Linked DNA regions of Struthio camelus. The protein of the gene in region 1 interacts with the protein of each later gene in a biochemical or structural test. Links are inferred from orthologs where the notes say so. Each region holds a gene or a part of one and is shown in the gene's direction. Other genes may lie near its edges.

What was found.
Region 2: the proteins of DNAJC3 (region 1) and THAP12 form a complex in vitro, tested with the Homo sapiens proteins (2 studies listed by BioGRID). The link is inferred for Struthio camelus from reciprocal best matches to the Homo sapiens genes DNAJC3 and THAP12.
Region 3: the proteins of DNAJC3 (region 1) and EIF2AK2 form a complex in vitro, tested with the Homo sapiens proteins (2 studies listed by BioGRID). The link is inferred for Struthio camelus from reciprocal best matches to the Homo sapiens genes DNAJC3 and EIF2AK2.

The regions. Positions count from the first base shown.
Region 1 is NC_090942.1:166,180,792-166,188,283, reverse strand, and holds the start of DNAJC3 (dnaJ homolog subfamily C member 3), read left to right. Parts: upstream 1-4,473; 5' UTR 4,474-4,670; coding exon 4,671-4,752; intron 4,753-7,492. UniProt on the Homo sapiens protein: Involved in the unfolded protein response (UPR) during endoplasmic reticulum (ER) stress.
Region 2 is NC_090942.1:221,396,002-221,402,802, forward strand, and holds the start of THAP12 (52 kDa repressor of the inhibitor of the protein kinase), read left to right. Parts: upstream 1-3,801; 5' UTR 3,802-4,045; intron 4,046-4,481; 5' UTR 4,482-4,647; coding exon 4,648-4,679; intron 4,680-4,766; coding exon 4,767-4,835; intron 4,836-4,865; exon of another isoform or gene 4,866-6,801. UniProt on the Homo sapiens protein: Upstream regulator of interferon-induced serine/threonine protein kinase R (PKR). May block the PKR-inhibitory function of DNAJC3, resulting in restoration of kinase activity and suppression of cell growth.
Region 3 is NC_090944.1:102,478,184-102,485,284, reverse strand, and holds the start of EIF2AK2 (interferon-induced, double-stranded RNA-activated protein kinase), read left to right. Parts: upstream 1-4,101; 5' UTR 4,102-4,460; intron 4,461-7,101.

The DNA.
Region 1 (7,492 bases):
CAATTTAGATACTCAGAAATCTAAGGACGTGCCCAAAGTGCCCGTTAGAACTTTTCAAAATCCTGGACTCGGCAAAACTCTGAAATACTAGACATACTATCTACTCTGCAGTAAGCATTCAAGCTCTTATTTATATTTATATTCATTATGTTACACTTACCTATAGATTGCTATATTGAATGGTAAAAAGGATTAGCTGGAGCAAACGTGTGATTATTAGGAGGGGCAATGTATGTGGACGATCTCCTCTGCTGGACCTGTGGGTATGTGCTTTTGAGAGAGCCCGGGTGCCTCCTTTCACCCTTCCATCGTTGCTGTGTCAGCAGCGCAACGCACGAATTTTGTCATCTTTTGGATTGTTAGCAGTCGGAGGATAAATGAAGTCTGTTAATTCAGAGATGGGTAAATACAGGACAGTGTTAGAAGGCATCACATGCCTATGGCTTATATAAAAATTCGCTCGGGGAACGAGTTGAATAACTCTACATGGGATGCAGGCAGCTGCCACTGCATACAAAGATAGCAGGCATAGGCTGGCAGCGCTGAGGTGTGCGTTGGAGCAGGCAGAGGTAAGGCTGCACACGTACACACTTTAACCGTGCAGTCCAAATCCCCAGAAGCGTGAACTTTGCAGACCTTGGTGTTTTGGCAGGACATAAGGTAGGAATGGACGCCTTAACTGATAACGTAGTGCTTTGTCACTGATATTTTTCACCTTTTTTAAAATTGAAGAGACGTGTTCGATTAAGAGAAACACTTAAGTAGCTTGGAGTCATCATGTAGATTTGAAACTTCAGCTTTGGGACTTCAGCTGGGAAAGTTATTTTTAATACACTAGGCAAACCAAAAAACAGTTGCAGAGTTTCAAACAGTTTCAAAACTAGTTATGAAAATAGGCTGAATTTCATAAATGGGTTTCAGTCGAAAATAAGAGTTCATGAATGTTAAACTATTTCATATATTTTCAAAATAGAATGCTTTACTTCAGAAATACCAAAATATTTTACTGTTTGAAGCAAAGTTTTGACTTCTGATTTCAGAGTATCATTTTAAAATGCTCTACATCTTCAAAAATGAAAATACGTATTTTAAAAGAGGTGAGATTTTGTAATAAATGTAATATTTTGCTTTCTGTCAAGCCCCTTCACCCTCCCAAAATCAACAGACGTGGCTTTTAAATCAAAATGCTTGAAAAATACTGTTTCACTTCATCTTGAATTGTTTCAAATTTGAATTAGGTTTGAATTTGAGTTGTTTCTGGAATTTTCTGGAGTTTGCTGTTGCTGCCATGGCTGGTAAGAAAAGTTGCAGATATTGTATACATCTCACTGATTAAAATAAATTTAAAATAAATTTAATTGTGAAAATGAAACATTGGTGTCTAATTCCCATCTTCCAACTTCTGTCCTACATATCTCACAACACATAGCCCTGTTGATAATCAGCTATAGTAATATAGTTTAGTGACTGAAGGACCTGTATTATAGCAAGCTTAACCGAAATGAGAGCAAAAGACCTAGGTAGAGCCTATTTATAGCGATATAAACAACAGACAGCAGTTAGTCTCTTTTTGTAGTGTCAAAACTCAAGGTCATAGCGCAGATGGTTAAATCCACACTGGAAAAGTGGTTCTCCCATCACAGTTAGGACTAAGATATACTTGTATAATTTTGTTGGGACAGTATGAAGGGGAAAGCATTAACAGAGGGTAACCTTACCCTAAAGAAGACTAATTCCTCACACTCTTTAAAGTCCATAAGCTTCTCCAAGAGCACATTTACAGTACTTAAGTTCTTGGGCTGAACTGCATTCTGTAGGAGCCTTTCTGTTTCCATGTATTGCAAAAAGAGCCCAGGACAAGGAATTTCCCTAAAGTCATCTCTTACAAATGCCACCCAAAATGGGAAATCTTGGAACTTCCAAAAGATGTGGCCATGTAAACAATAACCCTATGCTATGCCTGCTAGCAGAGATGTACATTACTATCCCATTTAGCTCGGTCATCACTCCAATTTAATAACACAGCTGCGTTTCTGATAGCAATGCACATACAGGGGAATGGATAAAAACAAGGTGTAAGGCCTGAGAGATCCCTCACAAGAAGAAGCCCCGAGGATAGTAACTCTGTGTTATCGTCCTGTCTCACCGCCTCCCGTATTTTCATACAGGACTGTGGAAGTAACATAACAGTCCGATATATTGCTTATTCTCCTGTGTCAGGAAACTGATTGATATGGATGGGGTTTTTTTTGGAACAGAGATTAGTAACTAAGATGTGTTGCCAAGAATGCTAGCTCACAGGTAATTAGCGGGGTCCTTCCCAGTACCTGTGTGTTTTCACACCTAATCTGGATTTCTCACCACACCACAGTTACATTTGAGTAGGTTTCCCAGTTAATAAACAGAACCTACAGATTTAACTAAATCCACATCTGTCACCATATTCAGGTCACCATCCCTGTTAGAAGCAACGAGTGTCTTAAAAAGTCATTCCTTGCTAACTGATGCCCTCTGCTGTTACTGTATTACCAGCAGTAACCGTGTTGGAGAAAATTCCTTGGCTTTCCCTCCTTTGACCACTTTGAACATTAGCGTAGTCTTTGCAATCAACCCAGCTTCCACTCCAAAACTCAAGGCTGCTGAAGAAACTTGTTTCTGGTCCCAGTCTGCCAAATTTTTATTGATCCTTTTGAAAGACTTACTGTATTACAGCTGTGTCGGCTTGCTATTTCTCAGATTACTTCTAAAAAATGACGTTGGCACGTCATATCATTTGTTCTTTTAAGTCTTTCTCGTCTTCTGCATCTCGTTTGCTTCTGAAATTGCACAAGGGAAGATGTGTTAACGTACTTTCTTCTCCCAGGCTTATAGTTAATCTCTAAATTACACTTTTAGGCGTTATGATCATCAAGAATGTTCTGTCATGGTTCATGGTCTCTTTCAGGAATTACTGGTCAGGCATCTGTATGATGACTTCTCTAACACAGACGGACAGTGAAAAATGATTTCTCTTTGAGCACGTCCTTTTGTAGTGTTGGCATTACACACTGTTTTTATATACTACTACAGCCTACTGAAATACTGACCTCCCTTATTAGTATAAATACTGACTCCTTATTAAGCATCTACTGAGAATATTGGCTCACTTTTATCATAATACTGTTACTTTTTTTTAAGGGATATGATGCTTGGACTTTTATGCTTGGAAATCTGTTCAGATTGGTACTCCAGTATCAGCTACTGCTTTGAGTTTTCTTCAGATTCCAGATTGTTCTCTCCTAATCTTGTTATTAAAGGTCTCCATTAAGTAGACTGCTATCCTTACTATTGTTTCCAGTCATTTGGGGGGAGAGGGAGTTGCAGGTGTGAATTGCTATACTGTATTCACTTTTGTCTGGCTTTGGTGTAATACGTCTCTTTTTCTGAGGTACAGCCATAGGAATTCATTTATTGTAACAGTGCTCGCATTCTGCTCATGCTCAGTTTTTGGCTTTCGTATTTTGTCCTCTCCATAATGCTACAGAGTTGTCATGTTCTGCCTCACGCTGACATCTTTAGAGTGGCATCAATTATTCATTGCACATCTACCACTTCCATTATTCAAGTTCTTATCTCTGAATATCTCCTGCCGGTGAAATTTCAGGGTGATCCTTTTGAAGCACCATCTTCCAAACGAAACGTTCGAGAGGGATAACGTGCAGTTTTCTTTGTTTAGTCTGATCTTTCAGGAAAAGCTTGTCCTGCAAACCTTGCACATTTTCTCCGCTTGGGTGAGAAGGGCAACGTGACCATATCTTCAGAATGTAAAAAAAGAAACGTCTGTGGTCACCACATAAGATTTCTAGCGCCAAGTTTGTTATTTGCTGGGTGGAATTCTCATGAGAACAAGATTTTTTTCTTTTTTTAACATTGATGGGGTGTAATATTATATAACAGGCCCCTCATATGAATGGTTTATCCAATAATATAAAGCAGATAATTTGAAACAACAAACTGGGCACATACAAGATTACTTTTCCCGGGATAACCAAGAGCACGTCATATTTGCACTATGAAGAAGAAAGGAAAAGACATTTCCCGAAACACGTTTGCTGGCTGGTCGGCTACCTTTGCTTGTGTAGGTTTACAGCCCCAGCGGGAACTTCTAACCACAAAAACGCCGGGCTCTGCCAAAGCCGGACGACCCCTTCGCCCGCGGCCGGGTACAACCCCTAGCGCTTTTTCGGCACGCCTGGAGGACAACGGGTATGCTGATTATTTAGCTCAGTGTGAGGAGAAAACAGGCCTGTACGCCATCAAACACTGGGCAGCGAGCTGACCAAAAAACGCGGAACCCCTCACCCCTCCCTCCGCCGCCATTCCCGGTGAGGGCAATCCCGCCACCCGCGGCGTCCTCCGCCTTCCTGCGCAGGCGCCGAGCGGCCACACTCTACCACCCCCGCCCCCCCCCCCATCCCCTCTCCGCGCAGGCGCGGTGGCGGCTTCCCGGTTTACTGCCCGCGCAGGCGCGGTGGCAGCGGTGGGGCTCGGTGTTGTGCGGGCGGGCGCCTTCACGCTGCTTCCACGTTTCCCGAGGGCGAGGGGGCGGGCGGGCGCGGCGCAGCCAATCGGAGGCGCCCACGACCCACCCCGGACAAGTTGGAGCTCGTCGGCCGCGGGCGTTGGTGGAGATGGTGTCTCCTGCGGCTTCCGCCGGCCGTCTGGGCTCTGCGCTGCCTTTTCTGCTGGTGCTCTTCGACCTGCAGTACCAGGGTGAGGGCGGAGAAAGGGGGCCGCAGCGCCTCCGGGGTGGGGGAGGCCGGCCTTGCCGCCCGGGGGTCGCGGGTGGGGCGCGCCGCCTTGTGCGGAGGCCGCGGGGGGCGCTGCCTTGGTTCCTGCGGGCTGCCGTTAACGGTCGCGGCGGCCGAGGGGCGCCTGGGTTGCTGCCCTTCCCCCCCCCCCCCCCCGCGGCCTGGGGGGAGCCGCCATGGCAGGCGGGCCGGGCCAAGGGGCTGGGGCAGAGGCAAAGCAGAGCGGAGCAGCGGCCTGCCCCAGGGCAGCTGGTGGGACCAGGCCGGCGGGAGGTCCCCGGGTGGCGTCGGGGCAGTCCCTGCAGGGCGTCCGGAAAGCAAATATTTTTGGAAAGGGTGGGAGTTAAAAAGGCGACGCAGAACTGCCACCTCATCAGAGCTAATGCGAAAGGTGTGCAATGAATGTTGGTGCCGCTGCTGGTAGCTTACTGCCTTTTACTGAAACTTTAGTCAGTGCTGCTTGAGGTAGTTCGGTGTGTGTTTCATTTTCTTTGGCCTGCTAATAGGGAGCTAAGGGGAAATGCTGTGGTGGCCTGCAGCACAGCTCTGCAGCACCATTGAGCTGTTCTGTACTGGCCTCAAGCCTCACTTTTATATCACTTGTATGTAATTTTCAAGTTAGAAGGTTTTTTTCCTTTGGTTTCCGTAACCCACAACGGTTATTAGGGCCTGACCTGCAAGTTTGCTGTGGCTTCTCACTGTCTTCCATTTGTTTATGTTTTTTTGCATCACTGTTGGTGTTTGAAGTTGGTCAGAGTACCACGTGCAACCTATCTGCTTTCAGAGTATGCTGTCAGCAACACCTGTGTAGTCAAACACATTCTCAAGCTCCTGTTAAATTTATAACTTGGTTATGCAATTGTGCATTTATTCAGAAACACGGTTGCACCTGAGAAACGTCCTGTCACTGGTAGAGGTTGATTGAGATAGAACTGAGACTGTCACTACTCAGAATAAGTCTATGGACTTGCAGCTAACCTGGCTTGACATTAGAAATTCAGTCGGAAGATGTACTAGATGAAAATTTCAGCTCACCAAGTGGCAATAGGTACATAGTGTAGCAAAGATGCTCTGTAGTATATGACTATGTGCTGTGGTGTTGAGTTGCTTTTTTGGATATGTATTCTGCTATTGTTGGAGGAAAAACCTAACTGAGTTCAAAGTATGTGTGTGTGTATATGTATATATAAATACATATATAGAACTCTGGCAGTGATGTTCCTGCTGAGGATTCTTTATTCAGAAGTGCTGGCCTAGTCTGATTATATTCTCTGTAAATGAATAATTTAATGAGTCTGTGAATTACCAAAGCCACGTTTCCTAGCTTGGGGTATATTCTCTTAACTGAACTCTGATAGTTTACTCTCTTTCAAAATATATTTATTAATAGGGTAAGAGGTGATGGTTCTTGATGTTATTTACTTCCTTATCTTATTTCACGAACTCATTTCCCAGGAAATTGAGTTAAGGGATGTAGATTTTGTTGTTGTTTCAAGTATCTAGATTCTTTTTTTCCAGCATTAGGGGGTTTTAAACTCAAAGGCCTTAAAAGGCACATTTATGTTTGTCTTGCTGCCTTGATTGTAGAAGTCTTCATTGTGTCATCTGAATCATGAATCTTTGGGACGAGTGAGCTTGAATTAGCTTTGTGTCTTAAGGGTCAACATTTATGAAAACTAATTTATTTCTGGCTAGTGCATGAGTTCAGTAAAAGAGCTGGAATAGTTGTTGGTGTGGCAAGTTGCAGTTCACCCATTGCTGTTGTGTCCTGAATTCCTCCTCCTGGATTACCTTGGTTTCTGCCTGGTGAATAAGCTTTCATTTGATGTGAGTCACCTCTGGGAGAGTCAGTTTTCATGGATGGGTTGTCCAGCCTCATTGCAACAGAGAAATGAGCTTTCAGTGTACAGAGCTCAACTCATTGTCAGACTGCTAACCTTATTTAAAGTGTTTCTTCCATATCCTTCTATCCGGAGTTTGGGAAATCTTTTTTTTTTTTTCCCCCCACCCCAAACTGTAATGGATACTAATGTGAGGAAGAAACTAGTTTCCTGGGAAGGAGGAGATGTGTTTGTGGTATGTATTTTTGATTGTTTGTTTGCTGACCTTTGTTATATTTATCAACTTTCTTTGGGAACTGAGGGAGTAACAACTTTGTGGACTGAAATCGCATGCAGCTTAATTGGGTGGGGGGAGCTGCTGTACTCTGAGACTTCTTATGAGCCCTTTCATACTACTCCTGAAACTTTGTGATTGTTCATCTACTTACTTTGTTTGGTGTTGGTCTTAAAACACACACAGACACAAGCAAAGCCCAAACCTATTTAAAAATAGCTGCAATCTTGCAACTTGAGGTAAGCGCAGGGTAGTTCTAATCAAAAAGCTTCACGCAGCGAAGACCCCCCCCCCTTCCCCCCCACCATGATAAAACAATTATTAAACTTTCAGGTAAAAAAAAGAAAAGAAAAGAAAAAAAGGAAGCTTGGAAGGAAATTTTAAATGGCCACAATTGAGATTAACGGCATGTATGTTTCTCCTTTGTCTATGACTTCGTATCAATTTTTTCTGGTACACGATTATAATTTCTTTTGTTTATTTTCATGGGCTTCTTGCCAAGCTCAGGGACAAGATTTCTAAAAAGTGTTTTGTAGGGGAGAGTTCTGTAGGAAACATGAGAGAAATGTGTAGTCGAATGTGAAACT
Region 2 (6,801 bases), about 55 Mb from region 1:
TTCACCAGACAGGAAGGTACCCAGGGAGAAGCTCTTCTCTGTGCCCACAAACAGTGACAAACACAGCTTCATGCCTGAATTAGAGTTCTCACACAGAATTAACACCAAATAAATTGATGTAATTGAAATTACTCCAATGAGATATGCTTTGAGTTTCCTAGTTTAAAGGGCATTTGATGGCAAGGAAAAAGTTGTCCTACTCGTACTAAAAAGAAAAAGAAAAAAGAAAAAAAGCTAGGAAGTTTAGAAGCCATCCAAAAGGAATCAAATGAGTGTTGTTTTACATTATGTACTTTTCAAAAAGACTCATACTTTGCCTATGTCATATATTTGGATTACGCTTCCAAATGTCCCCCCAATCTCCTTGCTGGGATTCTTTTTTAAGCGACATTAAAGAGGTATTAAAGAGGTACGTAAGAGATATCTATACCAAAGGTGAATTCTTACACTACGGCATTACAGCACCTGAAACAATTCTGGTCTGCAAGCAGAATTTATTCATCTTACAGTTCCTGCTTCTATTATCTCAAACCATCGGTAGGTCACAGTTGTTGAATCACTCTTTTTCGCTTCCAACTATCTAATCTTCTACTACTTTTTTTTTTGTTTAAATGAGCTCTGCTTTGTTTTTACCTTAGAGAGAACTGAGGAAGTCGTCACACTAGTTGTACATCCTGTTTTGGTTACTTTATTGCTCAAGACATACATAGTCAGCTCTTAGTTTGTCCCACTATCTGGGTTGTGGATTAACGATGTCTTCCTAAAACGCAAAACAAAAGAAAACACAAAACAGAAAAAGATTATGGCCTCATTCTACAACTTAAGCTCACTTTTAAAACTGAATGTACCCAATATAACACACATGTATAACATTATTCATATAGTCTGTACCATTTATATTTTGGCCTAGTAGTTCATTTACCCGTTGTGAATCACAGATATTTTGCCGGGTTTCTAACCACGTGCCTCTTGAAGGCCTCAGAGTTAGTTAAACACAAACAACCACCCAGGCTGACGCAGGCTGTACAATCCAACTCGAGGAACTTGAAACAACCGGCACCACCAGGACAACTGCGCGCTGGTGACTGACACCCCCTAAACTTCAGGATATAGCACTTAAAACCCTTAATTTCCTTATTCCATCTTTTTGGTATGGAATGAAATAAAGGCGAGGGGAGGGACCCTTCTCCCCCAGTGATGCTACAGACCGGAGTTGGCTCTTTTTTGCTTTTCCTTGACCCCAACAAGCTCAACACGGAAAATTACGAGGCTCAGGCCAGCCAGGAGCACTCGTGAGAGCTTCGCGCCCTCCCCACGGTACCGGGACACCCCGCGGGCGACGCGCCGGCCCCGCCCACGCCCCCACGTCGCGGAAGGCCGCCGCCGCCTCTGCGCCTGCGCGCCGCCCGCCTCCCACGCGCAGGCGCAAAAGCGGCGGCGGCGGGCCCCTCTGGGGCGCTCTGGGGGGGGGGGGAATCGCCCGCTTCGACGCGGCCAGGCCGCATGCGCGGCGGCGCTCATCCGGGTCCCGCCGCCGCGCATGGCCACTGGCCGGCGGCGGCCGGGCGCGCGAGGGCAGCCGGGAGGGGTGCATTGTGGGAAGGAGGCGGCTCTTGTCCCGGCGGAGGGTGGCGGTGAATCCTCCCGGCCGCTCACAGCAGTGTAGAGCCGCTTCCCCCTCCCTACCCCCCCCTTCCTTCCTTCCTCCCTCCCTCCCCCCCGTCCTCCTCCTCCACCCCACATACACACCCGCCCCCCCCCCCCGCCCGCTCTCTGCGGCCCGCGGATTTAAAGGGGCAGAGGCTCCAATCCGGGCGACCATGCCGAACTTCTGTGCGGCTCCCAACTGCACCCGCAAGAGCACCCAGTCCGACCTGGCCTTCTTCCGCTTCCCCCGGGACCCGGTCAGGTGAGACCCCAGCCGGGCACAAGGCAGCGCCGCCGCTGCAAGGGCACCCGCGCCTCGCAGGGGCAGCCCGAGGGAGGCGGCCCGCCGGCTCCCGGCCTCGCCGCTCCCCTCAGGGGCCCGCCTAGGCCCTGCGCTCCGCCGGAGGAGACAGCCCCCCGCGCCGCGGCGCCTCCCTCCCCTCACGCGCCGCGCCTCCTCCTCACCTCAGGCGGCGGGGCGGTCCGATGCGGGCCGTGGAAGAGGGGGGGGGGGGGGGGGCCGGAGGCGGCGGCGGCGGCGGCGCCACCGCGGCCGGCCGCAGCTGCCGCCTCCCCTGGCGGAGGCCGCGCGCGCTGTGCCGCCGGCGGGGCGGGGCTGCGCGGGACCCCGCGGCCCGCCGCGGGGAGGCGGCCGAGCGGCTGCGCATGCGCCGGACCGGCCGCTGTCCTCCTCTTCCTCCCCCCTCCCCCAAGCCGGGGGGCGCGCGCGCGCCTGTGCCGGGACGGGGGTGATTGACAGCTGGGGGGCGGGGCCGTGGGGGTGACCCGGGGGGGAGGGGGGGTGACCCGGGGGGGAGTGGGTGCTAGAGGCAGCGCCGTGGGGGAAGGGCGTGGGGCGGTGACGGGGGGGGTCGTGGGAGGCGTGGGGCGGTGACAGGGGGAGGGGGTCGTGGGAGGTGTGGGGGTGGCGGGGGGGGTCGTGGGAGGTGTGGGGCGGTGAGGAGGGGGAGAGGGGGGCATGGGAGGTGTGGGGCGGCTGGGGGGGCATGGGAGGTGTGGGGAGGTGACAGGAGGAGGGAGGGCATGGGAGGTGTGGGGTGGCTCGGGGTGGGGGTACACACGGGGCCGTGGGTGGTGTGGGGCAGCTAGGGGCAGTGCATGGGGCCATGGGAGGTGTGGGGCAGCTCGGGGTGGGGGTACACACGGGGCTGTGGGAGGTGTGGGGCAGCTAGGGGCAGTGCATGGGGCCGTGGGAGGTGTGGGGCGGCTCGGGGCAGTGCATAGGGCCATGGGAGGTGTGGGGCAGCTCGGGGTGGGGGTATACACGGGGCTGTGGGAGGTGTGGGGCAGCTAGGGGCAGTGCATGGGGCCATGGGAGGTGTGGGGCAGCTCGGGGTGGGGGTACCCACGGCCATGGGAGGTGTGGGGCGGCTCGGGGTGGGGGTACACACAGGGGCCGTGGGAGGTGTGGGGCGGCTCGGGGTGGGGGTATACACGGGGCTGTGGGAGGTGTGGGGCGGCTCGGGGCGGGGGTACACACGGAGCCATGGGAGGTGTGGGGCAGCTCGGGGTGGTGCACGGGGCCGTGGGAGGTGTGGGGCGGCTCGGGGTGGTGCACGGGGCCGTGGGAGGTGTGGGGCAGCTCGGGATGGGGGTACCCGTGGAGCTTTGGGAGGTGTGGGGCAGCTCGGGGTGGGGGTACACACAGGGGCTGTGGGAGGTGTGGGGCAGCTCGGGGTGGTGCACGGGGCCGTGGGAGGTGTGGGGCAGCTCGGGGTGGGGGCACACACAGGGGCCATGGGAGGTGTGGGGCGGCTCGGGGTGGTACACGGGGCCGTGGGAGGTGTGGGGCAGCTCGGGGTGGGGTACACATGGAGCCGTGGGAGGTGTGGGGCAGCTCGGGGTGGTGCACGGGGCCGTGGGAGGTGTGGGGCAGCTCGGGGTGGGGGTACCCACAGGGGCCGTGGGAGGTGTGGGGCAGCTCGGGGTGGTGCACGGGGCCGTGGGAGGTGTGGGGCAGCTCGGGGTGGGGGTACACACAGGGGCCGTGGGAGGTGTGGGGCAGCTCGGGGTGGTGCACGGGGCCGTGGGAGGTGTGGGGCAGCTCAGGTGGGGGTACCCACGCGGCCGTGGGAGGTGTGGGGCGGCTCGAGGGGCAGGGGGGGCACGCATGGGGGGGCGGTGCTGGTGGCAGTCCGGGGGAGCTGGCGTAGCCGAGCAGAGCCGTGGGAAATCCTAGGAGCAGTAGGAGCCGGGCGCCCACGTTGCCTGGCGGGTGCCGACGCGCCCTGCGAGTCTAGACGCTGCTCTGGAAATAATTCGACTTCCCTCGCTTCTGCCGGTTTGGGAAGGCGCGTGCTCCCCGGAGCGGCGTCAGCTACCTCTTTCCCGACGATAGATCGTACGCTGCCGGGTTTTATAGTTTAACCCGTGTTAGGTAGAGTTTTGCATTTAAAGAAAACTAATCAAAACGCTCGATTGCCTGCTCCGAGCTTATCGTCCGTGTTTTCCCCTCCTGATGTTGCCTCTCTCAACCCTTGGCGAGCTGCAGGTTCTTGCACAGCCAAAGTCACGGCTGCAGGTTGTGCAGATGTGGAGAGATTTGGGGCTGTCTGAACTTCAGTGTTAATTTCTCGGGAGTTCTTGTCGCAAAACCCGAGTCACACGTGAAGTTGCACAAACATGATTAATACATGCAATGACGATTTATTATATGAAGGAAATAGCCCCTTCAGTTTATGCGTCTTTTTCTATTGAAAGACGTTTTGAACGACCGTTTTCCACGTTAACACTAGAAATACATCTGAAAATGCGCAGTTAACCAAACAACTGCCACTACTTTTCAGGATTTGTATTGTTTTATTCTATTTCAGAGTTATAATACTACCAGTTTCAACTACCGTTCCTTGTGGAAGCTTAAGAGATAAAGACCTAGTGAAAAAACAATGCATGTCAGCTACAATGATTTAAACAATATAGACTGTTTGCAAAAAAAAAAAAAAGTCCATAAAAGTTGATCAGTCACGTGGTTTAAGAAGTATGCGCCAGTTTATATCTCTACAACAGCATCGGTGTGAGTAGGCGTGCTTCCTGATTTCCCGTTTGGCATAATCCCCGTGAAGCAGTTCAGACTAATCAGATTAATGCTCCTCTAACAGGATCGTAGAAAATAGTGCTAAAATTTACCTTGAAGGACCGTTTGGTCGTTTCCACTGTACAAAGGAAGGGTAAGCTCTACGTAAGCTGTTTTTCAGACTGCACAGCACCCCTTTCACTCTGTCAGTGTTCTGCCTAAGTTTTTCTTTTTTTCTTAATATCGTATACCTTTCTCATTTAAACCTATATACAAATGTCCTAAATTGATCACATGCTCTGTTTTAGAAACTCTTAGTATTTAAAGATTGATAGATCGTTGTAACCTTTATGGCTTTGTAGACGATAGGACGTTAGTGATTTATTTTCCTATTTGAAGTACAGCAGTGATCTGCAACTGGTAAATGACAGACAACGTGTTGCTTGTACAACCGTCCAGTACTGCATACTGTCATAGAAACCTGTTGCCGTTGTAGGTCAGACTGGTATGGTAAGCAAAGTACTTTGTGCTGCTATAAACGTCTTATTTGCTCTTGGGATCTTGCAGTGAGAAGGCAGGTGCTTAGTGCTTTCAATTTTTGCACGTTAACTAAAAAATAACCCTTACTTTTTCCCGATTCAGTGCTAAGCACTCTCAGCTAGACGTTCCAAAACTGATCTTTAAAGCATTAGTGAGTCTACTAGAGCTAACCAGTTATTTGAGACTACTTTGATTTACTTTTTCTATCTGAGAATACTGGAAGGGGTGAAATGATGAGGCTTTGAAGTAGAACTGATTGCGGTTAGTGGCTGGTGCATAGTTTTTTCACATCAAACATGAATGTGAATAAATAGCCTCTGTTTCCCCAACAGGCACGTTCATTTTAATAATTTTACGTGGTCTAGGCAGTGATACGCACAGTCAGATCTATCCATGCTTCTGACTCTTCTTCATCATGGCAGTCTGAGTTAAGGTGAAGTTTGAGTATTTGGAAGAAAATACATTTTAAGCAACAGAGATGCTATTCTACTGTAGTTGACCAACACTGAGGTAAAATAAATGATTTCAATTATACCTGAACCTGAATAAAAATGCCTTTTAAGCTTCCATGAGATGTCAGCAGATTTGTGGAAATAATATTAAACTTGTCACTGAAGAAAACCTCCTTAAAACCCAATAAGTGGTAACTATAATGCCAAGCACATCTATATTAAGTAGTCTGCGGAGTCTGACCCCCTTTTCCCTTTGTTCTTCCGTTTCTGGTTCCTTGGAGAACATTTGTTTCGGGGCCGAACTCACAGCAAGACTGAGTTGCCGCATTCTGAGTTAGTTGAAGAGTTTGCACGTTTGAATCCAGTCACGTAACCCCCATCAGCCCCCTCTAATCCTGTAGTTACCTGACAAAACGTCGACACTTTGGCTTTTACCAGTAAATTTTCCTAGATGTCTAGAGCTCCAGTTACAGAACTGCTGCTCCTGCCGGGTGAGGAGCTTGACGCTGCTGCCTGCCCGGGATCCTCCAACGAGGACTTTGCGTGCCAAGGCCCTCAGGGGCTTTGAGATCGTGTACTCGGGTCCTGTCTAGTGCAGGCTGACGGCGTGGACTTCGGCACAGAAGAGAGCCGCCGCAGCCGCTTTTATGTAACCGGAGGAGAAGTTGGGAAGGGAGAGGGGTATTTGGGGGTTAGTTTCATCTTTGTGAGGCTAACTTCCTGAGCTAGACTCGTCTGTAGAGTTCCTCTTGTCTTCTGCCGTCGCTTCTTACGGTCTTCTCTGGTCCCTAGCTGTGACTGCTGTCTAATGTAACTTGTTCTCTGGATGGCGGCACGATCTGAAGTGAAGCAATTCAGGCGGGTTTTGTCCGCTCTCGACAACTGCGCGCCACTTCTGGCGCGTGTGCTAAATGCACCATCGCGGCCACAGTTTGTGCCTGTGTGATGGCCAGGAGTTATCTTAGTGTGAGGAGCTCTGACTTTGCTTCCTGGCAGTCCTCAGCTTCCTTGAGTCAGTGGAGAGTGACCGGTAAGATCTGCTAAGGTTAGGCTCTTGTTCTGGACACCCCTCTGTCCCAAAGCCCTCTCCGTTGACGTAAGGAGGCTGATCGACCTTTATGACAGCCC
Region 3 (7,101 bases), on another chromosome or scaffold:
AACCCCTCAAGTCCTGTTCTCCAAATTCGCTGTTCATAAGACAAGTAGTTGGCTACCTTTAGCTTAGACATTAGAGGAAAAAAATCCTGATGGTAACTTTGCAAAGCCCTGCAATACATTTCCGGAGAACATTATAAAATCATTTACGCAAGTTTTTAAGAAAAAGTTAAACAAAGATGACTTTAAACATTGGCGATGTTTAAGGCACAGCTCATCCTCTGGCAGAGGTGAACTAGATGACTTCTTATGATCTCTTCTGGCCTTGCTATCTCTGGGGAGTACAGGCCCCTGCAGGCCACGGGCACTCCTCCTCCTCCTCCTCCTCCATTTCCGCAGTCAGTGGGATTGCATCTGCACACACTGGCTCTGAATTGGGGCCCAGCCTACCGAATGAGTTGTTACTGTGAAACATTTACCATCATGTCTCAAGACGTGAACTTAAAGGTGCACATTACGGCTATCAGCAGCAGCTTATTTGGTTTGTTGCACCTGTGGTTTTAATCCACGTAGGCTTTTAATGGAAATTCTAGTTTTATGAAATGAAATTACTGATCTTCTGCCTTTGCAGTTTTCTGAACTAAAGCCCTTCTGCTGTTTTAATTTTTGTTACTGTTCTATGTGTAGAATCTCAAAATAACATCTGGGAAATAAAATGCCGATTTTAGTCATTTGTTCCGGGTTTTCTTTCATAGTTTGCAAAAATATCCCTCACACAGGTAAGAAGCTGTTGTTTACTACAGGTAAAATATTTTGTGCCTATTTTTATTTCTTTATGGTAACTGTACATGAGTGGTCTCAACTCTTTGTTTTTCCTGGTTTGTTAATCTGATTACTTTTAAAATTGAAACATTTTCCCCAGTTTGTTCTCTAGTTGCTCCTGGAGTAAAGCTTTTACATTTAGTTCCAGCCCTAGGCCCTCTGTTCTCTGTGACATACCAGCTGCAGCAGCAGCAAGCATAGCTCCAGAGGGCCATATGTTTTCCTTTTTGTTTAAAATATCCACAAGCAGACATTCACTTCCGTAGTTTTGTCTCTTTGGAGGAGCTGAAAGTTGACTGCATTAACCCCCCGAGGGTCTGTAAGCGGTATGGAAGAGCTAGGGCTCAAGCTGAATGAAGCTGTGATGTCTTGTCCGTGTTGCCCACAGTCTCCTTCAGCTCTTCCGCTCGCGCAACTCTTGTTTGATCTCTGCTCCTGTACTTATATTGTACATTCCCTGGGGAAGTGCTTCTCTCTGTATGTGTTTGCAAAAGGTGCGTTTAAGGGGCCTCGATCTACTACTGGGATTTTTGTGCTTCATTACAGTTAAAACTGCTAGTTCTGCATGCTGCTTGATGCCTTCCTAAATGACTGATACTACTTTTTCTTCTTGTGGTGAAGATGAGGGCTATGTTAGCGGATCCTAATCCTTTGGAATTGCCTCCATGCAACAGTAGATACTCCTCTAGGAACTCACAAACTAAATTGTATTTTTAATAGTAATTGGTGCATCATGGAAAAAGTTAAAATGATACAGTCTCATACCTACTTTGTTTAAATGACTGTCTTTCCTTTTGCGGAGTCTCAGAGTGATTTACTTATTTTTATGTAGCAATCTCAATACGCCAACTGCTGGAATGAACTACGAAGCTGTCCAACAGCAGCAAGTAGCTGACAATTCAGGAAGGAAAGTGACAATTCCTATATCCAGTTAAATCAAAATAAAACTAAAATTCCTGCCCCCTTTCCCAAACTGTTATTATAGTATTAAAAGCTAGAATAAATTTAAAAAAAATGATGGAAGAAGTGGTTACCAGAGATAAAGTATATCCATGTCAACCTAAGCATATCTATTTTTCTGGATGTAGATGACTTTCTTCAGGTTATTCGGCCAGTCATTGCTAACTGAACGTCTCCCATGTAAAGTACCTATAGCTGTAGGTAGGTACTGTAGATTCCAGCAACGTCCATAGGTTTTCTGGATATGCTGGAGTGTGGTGGTCCTGTAGTGTTTTATGCCAGTGGGTGCAATAGTCATGAATGCCTTACACCTATTTCGAAACAGAAAATCCTGTGGTAATGCGACAGTTAAAATTCTACTGCAGCATTCATCCGATGCGAACTCAGAAGGAGTACCTCTGACTGAAGGACCAACGTTATTTCTTGCAACTCCTAATTTTTCTTTTGTTCATAAAGTTATGTTCATATTTGCTAGTACTTTTCCTTCTTACAGGCTCTCCCAAGTTCATTAGAGAAGAAACAAATCAAGCTGTCTTGACAGTACAAATGGAAGTAAGCTTTCCTGGCCCCATCTATGTTTGTGTAACTCATGCATGTGTGACACTGGTAAATGAAGCACTAGAACTAAGAACGTGAAACTTTTTTTTTTTTTTGAGGAAATATTTTACTGCATCTCATTAAAATAAACAGTCATTTTAGAAATATATGTAGGGACCATGTCCAGTATGCACTTGAATATGTATATTCTGGGCTCTGTGCCTGGTTGTGCTATTGATCCATGATGTGGCTTTGGGTAAGTTACTTGTCCAAGTTACGCATGCAAACACCCATTTATCCACTCTTCATTTGGCGTGTTTATTGAGATTATAATCTGTTTTGGATTGCTTACCTATATGAGCCAAATAAACAGATGCACAATACTAACTGGGAACTGTTGTAATATAAATATGTACTAAAGACATCAGGCATGAATATGAATGCACTTTTTAATCTACCAGGCATGTATAAACTAAGTTCAGGTTTCTCATTCTTGGATAAAAATATTCAACATGGCTGATGAATTTTCAGTGCCCAGGTGGTAGAAGTATTCATATCCTGTTCAGAATAAAGTGGCAAATCAGCAGAGTGAATTCAACGAGTTACTTGTGTTTTTCCAATATTAGAAGAGGATCGTTTATGAAGGAATGAAAGTCATTTGTAAAGCTGCTGACTGTGGCTCTGATTAAGGATGGATGATTTTCAGCATACTAGACCAGCTTATATAGTGCAGTATGAAGTCATATGTGAAGTTTTAAAGCAGTAAGAAAGCTAAGATGTTCAAAACAAAAAAAAAAACAGTGCTTTTATAGCAACGTTGTTGAAGGACAGCAAGGAATTCATATAAAAGCGCTGTTACATATTGAACTTTGGTTTCGCTACCGCCAGCTTTGGACTCAGCAGAACACATGGGTATTGGCACTTGCAAGCAGCAGAGCGTTCTGGTGAAACCCTAGACAGGATGTATCAGCGGACACTGGAACAAAAGACCAGCTTCGAGGGTGTGCATCCACGATCGCGTGATGTCCTCTTAGTTTTGGAAGTATTTGTCTTACTAAAGAGTAGTTTCACTTGATTTGTCCCTCTGCAACCTACCTGTGAAGTGTTGGTGGCGCTGAAGAACATGGCAGAGCTGCCCCCGGACGTCAGGGAGACCCAGGCTTTGTGCCAGGATCACATTTTTTAAATGTACCCACTTGACATGTGCTTTTTTAAGTTCTGAGACTTTATTCTGCTTGTTACGGTAGCACACCTTTGGCCCCTTTTATGGCCATTCCTGAGTGACCAAAGGTCTAATTCATGCAATGAAAAGGCAGGTGTTTCCAGCTGCCCTGGTAGAAGTTCAGAGCAATAGTTAAGGAAAAAACCCAAACAACTGGGCCTGTATGGTCATTCGAGAAATACTTTTAATTAGTTGTCCAGCAAACAGAATTTCTTTAAAGGGCATTAGTTTGCTCTCTAGGGGGGACCTTTATGAACGCTTAGTCTAACCCATTGCACACCAGAGTTTTTCTCCAGTCACACCAAGCATTTAGATTATACTACTTATTCCCTCACTGTGACTCGTTTCTCCGTCTGGAAAATGGGGGTGAGAGTCCTTCTTCCAGCCACGTGGGCTGGTTTGAAGGGGTACATGTCAGGCTGTGAGGCACAATTCTCCGTAACGGGTGCCACTGCGCTGCTTGAACAGATCATCAAGCGCGTAGGAACCGTCGCCTTCCCAGGCTGGAATTGCAAAAGGGGGAAGGCAGTCGTAAGATTTTTCAGCCAAACGTTAATTGGTTGGGGAACGTACACAGGAGCAAGCAATAAAATAGGTTTCAGGTTTTCAGCCTCTTTTACTCTTTACATGAGCACTTGAAGAGCTGTGAGGGGACACAAAGCCTCGGGAAACTGCACCCTAGCTGCAGTTCTCGGTGTTTTAACTCGCAGAGGCCCCGTGCAGCAGGAGAGCTACCCCGCCGTTGCACCAGCAAGCGCCGCTGTGAGAAGTGGCACCAGCTGGGATGGCTCACGTGGGGCCTGCAGCTGTGGGCCTGGTGGGAACGTCCTAGCTGTCTCTTGAGAAGAATTAGGCTGTGTGTTGGCCTGTTGTTCATCTCCAGGTGAAGGACACTGGTCACCTGGGTGCTGCTCTGCTACAGGAGATCGCTGGAGGAAGGGCTGAGGTTGCTGCTGCCACCGGCATAGAGGCGAAGGATGGGGTGAGTACCACGCGCTGCGGTGTACCTGCCCTCGCGCTGGTGCCACCGCATGAGAAGGGGAGTGTTTGCAACCCACATAGCGCTGTGGGCATTACAGCGGCTGGTGTTTCGTAAATCCGTGGGTCTGTTCTTGGCATCTGCCGAGATTCACTTGAAAGAGAAAATCCGGAAGCTCTTTGTAGGAAAAGTAGCCAAAGGTAGGAAGGGTTTGTGGCCAGTGCTGTCAAGGGGGTGCGTTAAGGCTGAAGAGCGCTCCAGACCCACCACGTCACCCTTCGGGGTTGCAGTGCCCGTCGCAGTTAGGAAGGACCCACTGTATCCCTCCGCTTCTGCGCAGGGCTCGTGTGTGTGCCAGTTGACAGTGAAATGAAAGATGTTTATTTTTCTTCTGTCCTTGCTTCAAAAAGTGCATTTCAAATTGTTCACATCCTCAAAATTATATGGAGAAATACGAGGTAGAAGACACCTGATGCTTCAAAAGTGTTGGCTACCAACTGTCTTCTTGTGGGAAGAGCTCATTACTTTTAATCAAGTGTTTGCAGATGCTAAAATCACACTAAAACGCTGGTGGGAAAACAGCTTTTTTTTTTTTTTTTTTGTGGCATATGTTTTAACTGCCAGCGCCTTACTCAGTTTGCCCAGGAGGAAACGATGTTCCCAGCGCAGCTAACATGCTGCCTGAGGGAGCTGTCGGAAGCGGTGTGGCTGCCCGGGGTGGTGGCAGCAGCTGCTGCGAGTGCGCACGGCCCCAGCGCTGGCAGGGCTCTGCAAGAGCTGCTGGGCTGGTTCCCAGCAGCTGAGAGTCTCTTTCACTAATTTGCAGTCTTGAACGCAAGCAAAGGGGTGCTGTGTTTTTGTTACGCTGTTAAAGGTTTGTTTAAAAGTAACCGTAAATTTAGACCAGAGAAGGAACTTCAGTGAAGGAGCTCTTCTTACATGAGTGAGCAGCAGAACAGGAGCAAATGGTTAACGTTTCTGAAATGGTATCAGATAAAAGCAGACAGTCTGACTGGGTTCATCTGCCCGGCAATGTCCTGATTTGTGTGTGTTATGCTGGATTTACTTTAGTACAAATGACGCGTATTTGGGACTTGGTTCTCTCTCATTTTGAATGCCAAGCTGCATTTGCATGTAAAAGGGAATGGTGATTACAGTTCCTGTGTTTGCCTGTGTATATACCTATGTGTGTCTCTATATATGCAAGTATATATACACATGCACAACTTAACAGAGGAATTGAAACAGATACAATTAGCTATATTTTGTAGCTGCAGTAAGCAGCTTGGTTTTTTTGGCGAACCTTTTGAAATTCCCGTCCATAAGACACGTAGTGAAAATATAAGAAAGTAAGAGCGGAGGAGAAAGGCTATAAAATCACGTGAAGGCAGAAGCTAATGTCTGGTAAGAGCAGAGTTTAAACTGCTTCATGAAAGGGAACTGACAACACAGCTCAGCTCTGAACTGGACCTATTTCATGGGCCCAGTTGGTACTGCCTTTGAGAGGAAGGAAAAGGAAAATATGTGTAGAATACGAGCTGTTGCTGGATACCTTGTCAGCTGGAGAGGAAATGCTAGTTATAATAGCCCTGCTCGATAGTGCAGACGCTCAGCTTGGTACAGGGCAGTCAGTTTCCACTGGAATTCCTTGATGTATTTGACTTGGGGTAGGGAGATGATAGGAGGAAAAAAAAGGTTTTTAAAAAATGTAAATTAATATATTAGCATTCTTTGACTTGGCTTCTTGACCTGTGAGCCTGTGAACTCTGAAGGGTTTACTGAGTCAGTAAACTGATAGACTGAGCTGGTTCCCTGACCATAGGACATATAGCTGTAATCCGTATCCCTGGGGCATCATGTCTGCCTCTGGTGAGTCTGTGTTTGGGAGTGGGGGGATAGGAGGTTGAGCTTTTGTTTGTGGGTTTTTTGGTTTTTTGAGGGGTTTTTTTTTTTGGTAAGTCAGAATTGTGATTTGGAGGCAGAGATGCTCAAGGAGGTTTACCTAATAACCATTTGTGGAATGCTTGACTTCCTTTAGTTTCTTGAACTCGGTACGCATTCACCAATCAGTAAATTCAAAGTGAATGCAAAAGATGTAGTGCAGAAAGGCTGGTCCAAAACTAATCAATGGACTTGAAGCTATCTTCCAGGATTTTCTTTTCCAGTAATCAGCTGTTGGAACAAGAGAGTGTCCCTATGTGGAGGAAGAGGAATAGAAAATTTCAGGCAAGACTGAAACAACCCATTGGGCATTAGGTACAAGGAGATTAAAGTGCCAACATGTTTTCTTAATTGCTGTCCAATTCATTCTCTTATCTCAGTTCCAGTGTAGGAAACTAGAAAGGATGTTTTCAGTGACAAAGGAAAACGGCGCTAGATTATCCCTGGTTTCTGCACTTCCGAGGTGAAAGCTTGCCTGGGACAGGGACTGGCTTCCTTCCCCTTCTCCCATTAGTGAGTGTCTTTGCAGAGAGTGCAGCCTTTGCAGAGATGGCCGTGAAGCCATCACTCTGCCTTCCCCCTCCTCATCCTGCTCCCTAAGCATGCAAGCGAGTGGAGCTCAGTTAAAAGACTGCGGGGGAGACCTGAGACTGGAGCAGGTGTGGGTTTCCTCTGTGTTTGGTGATACTCCCTTTGGGACGTG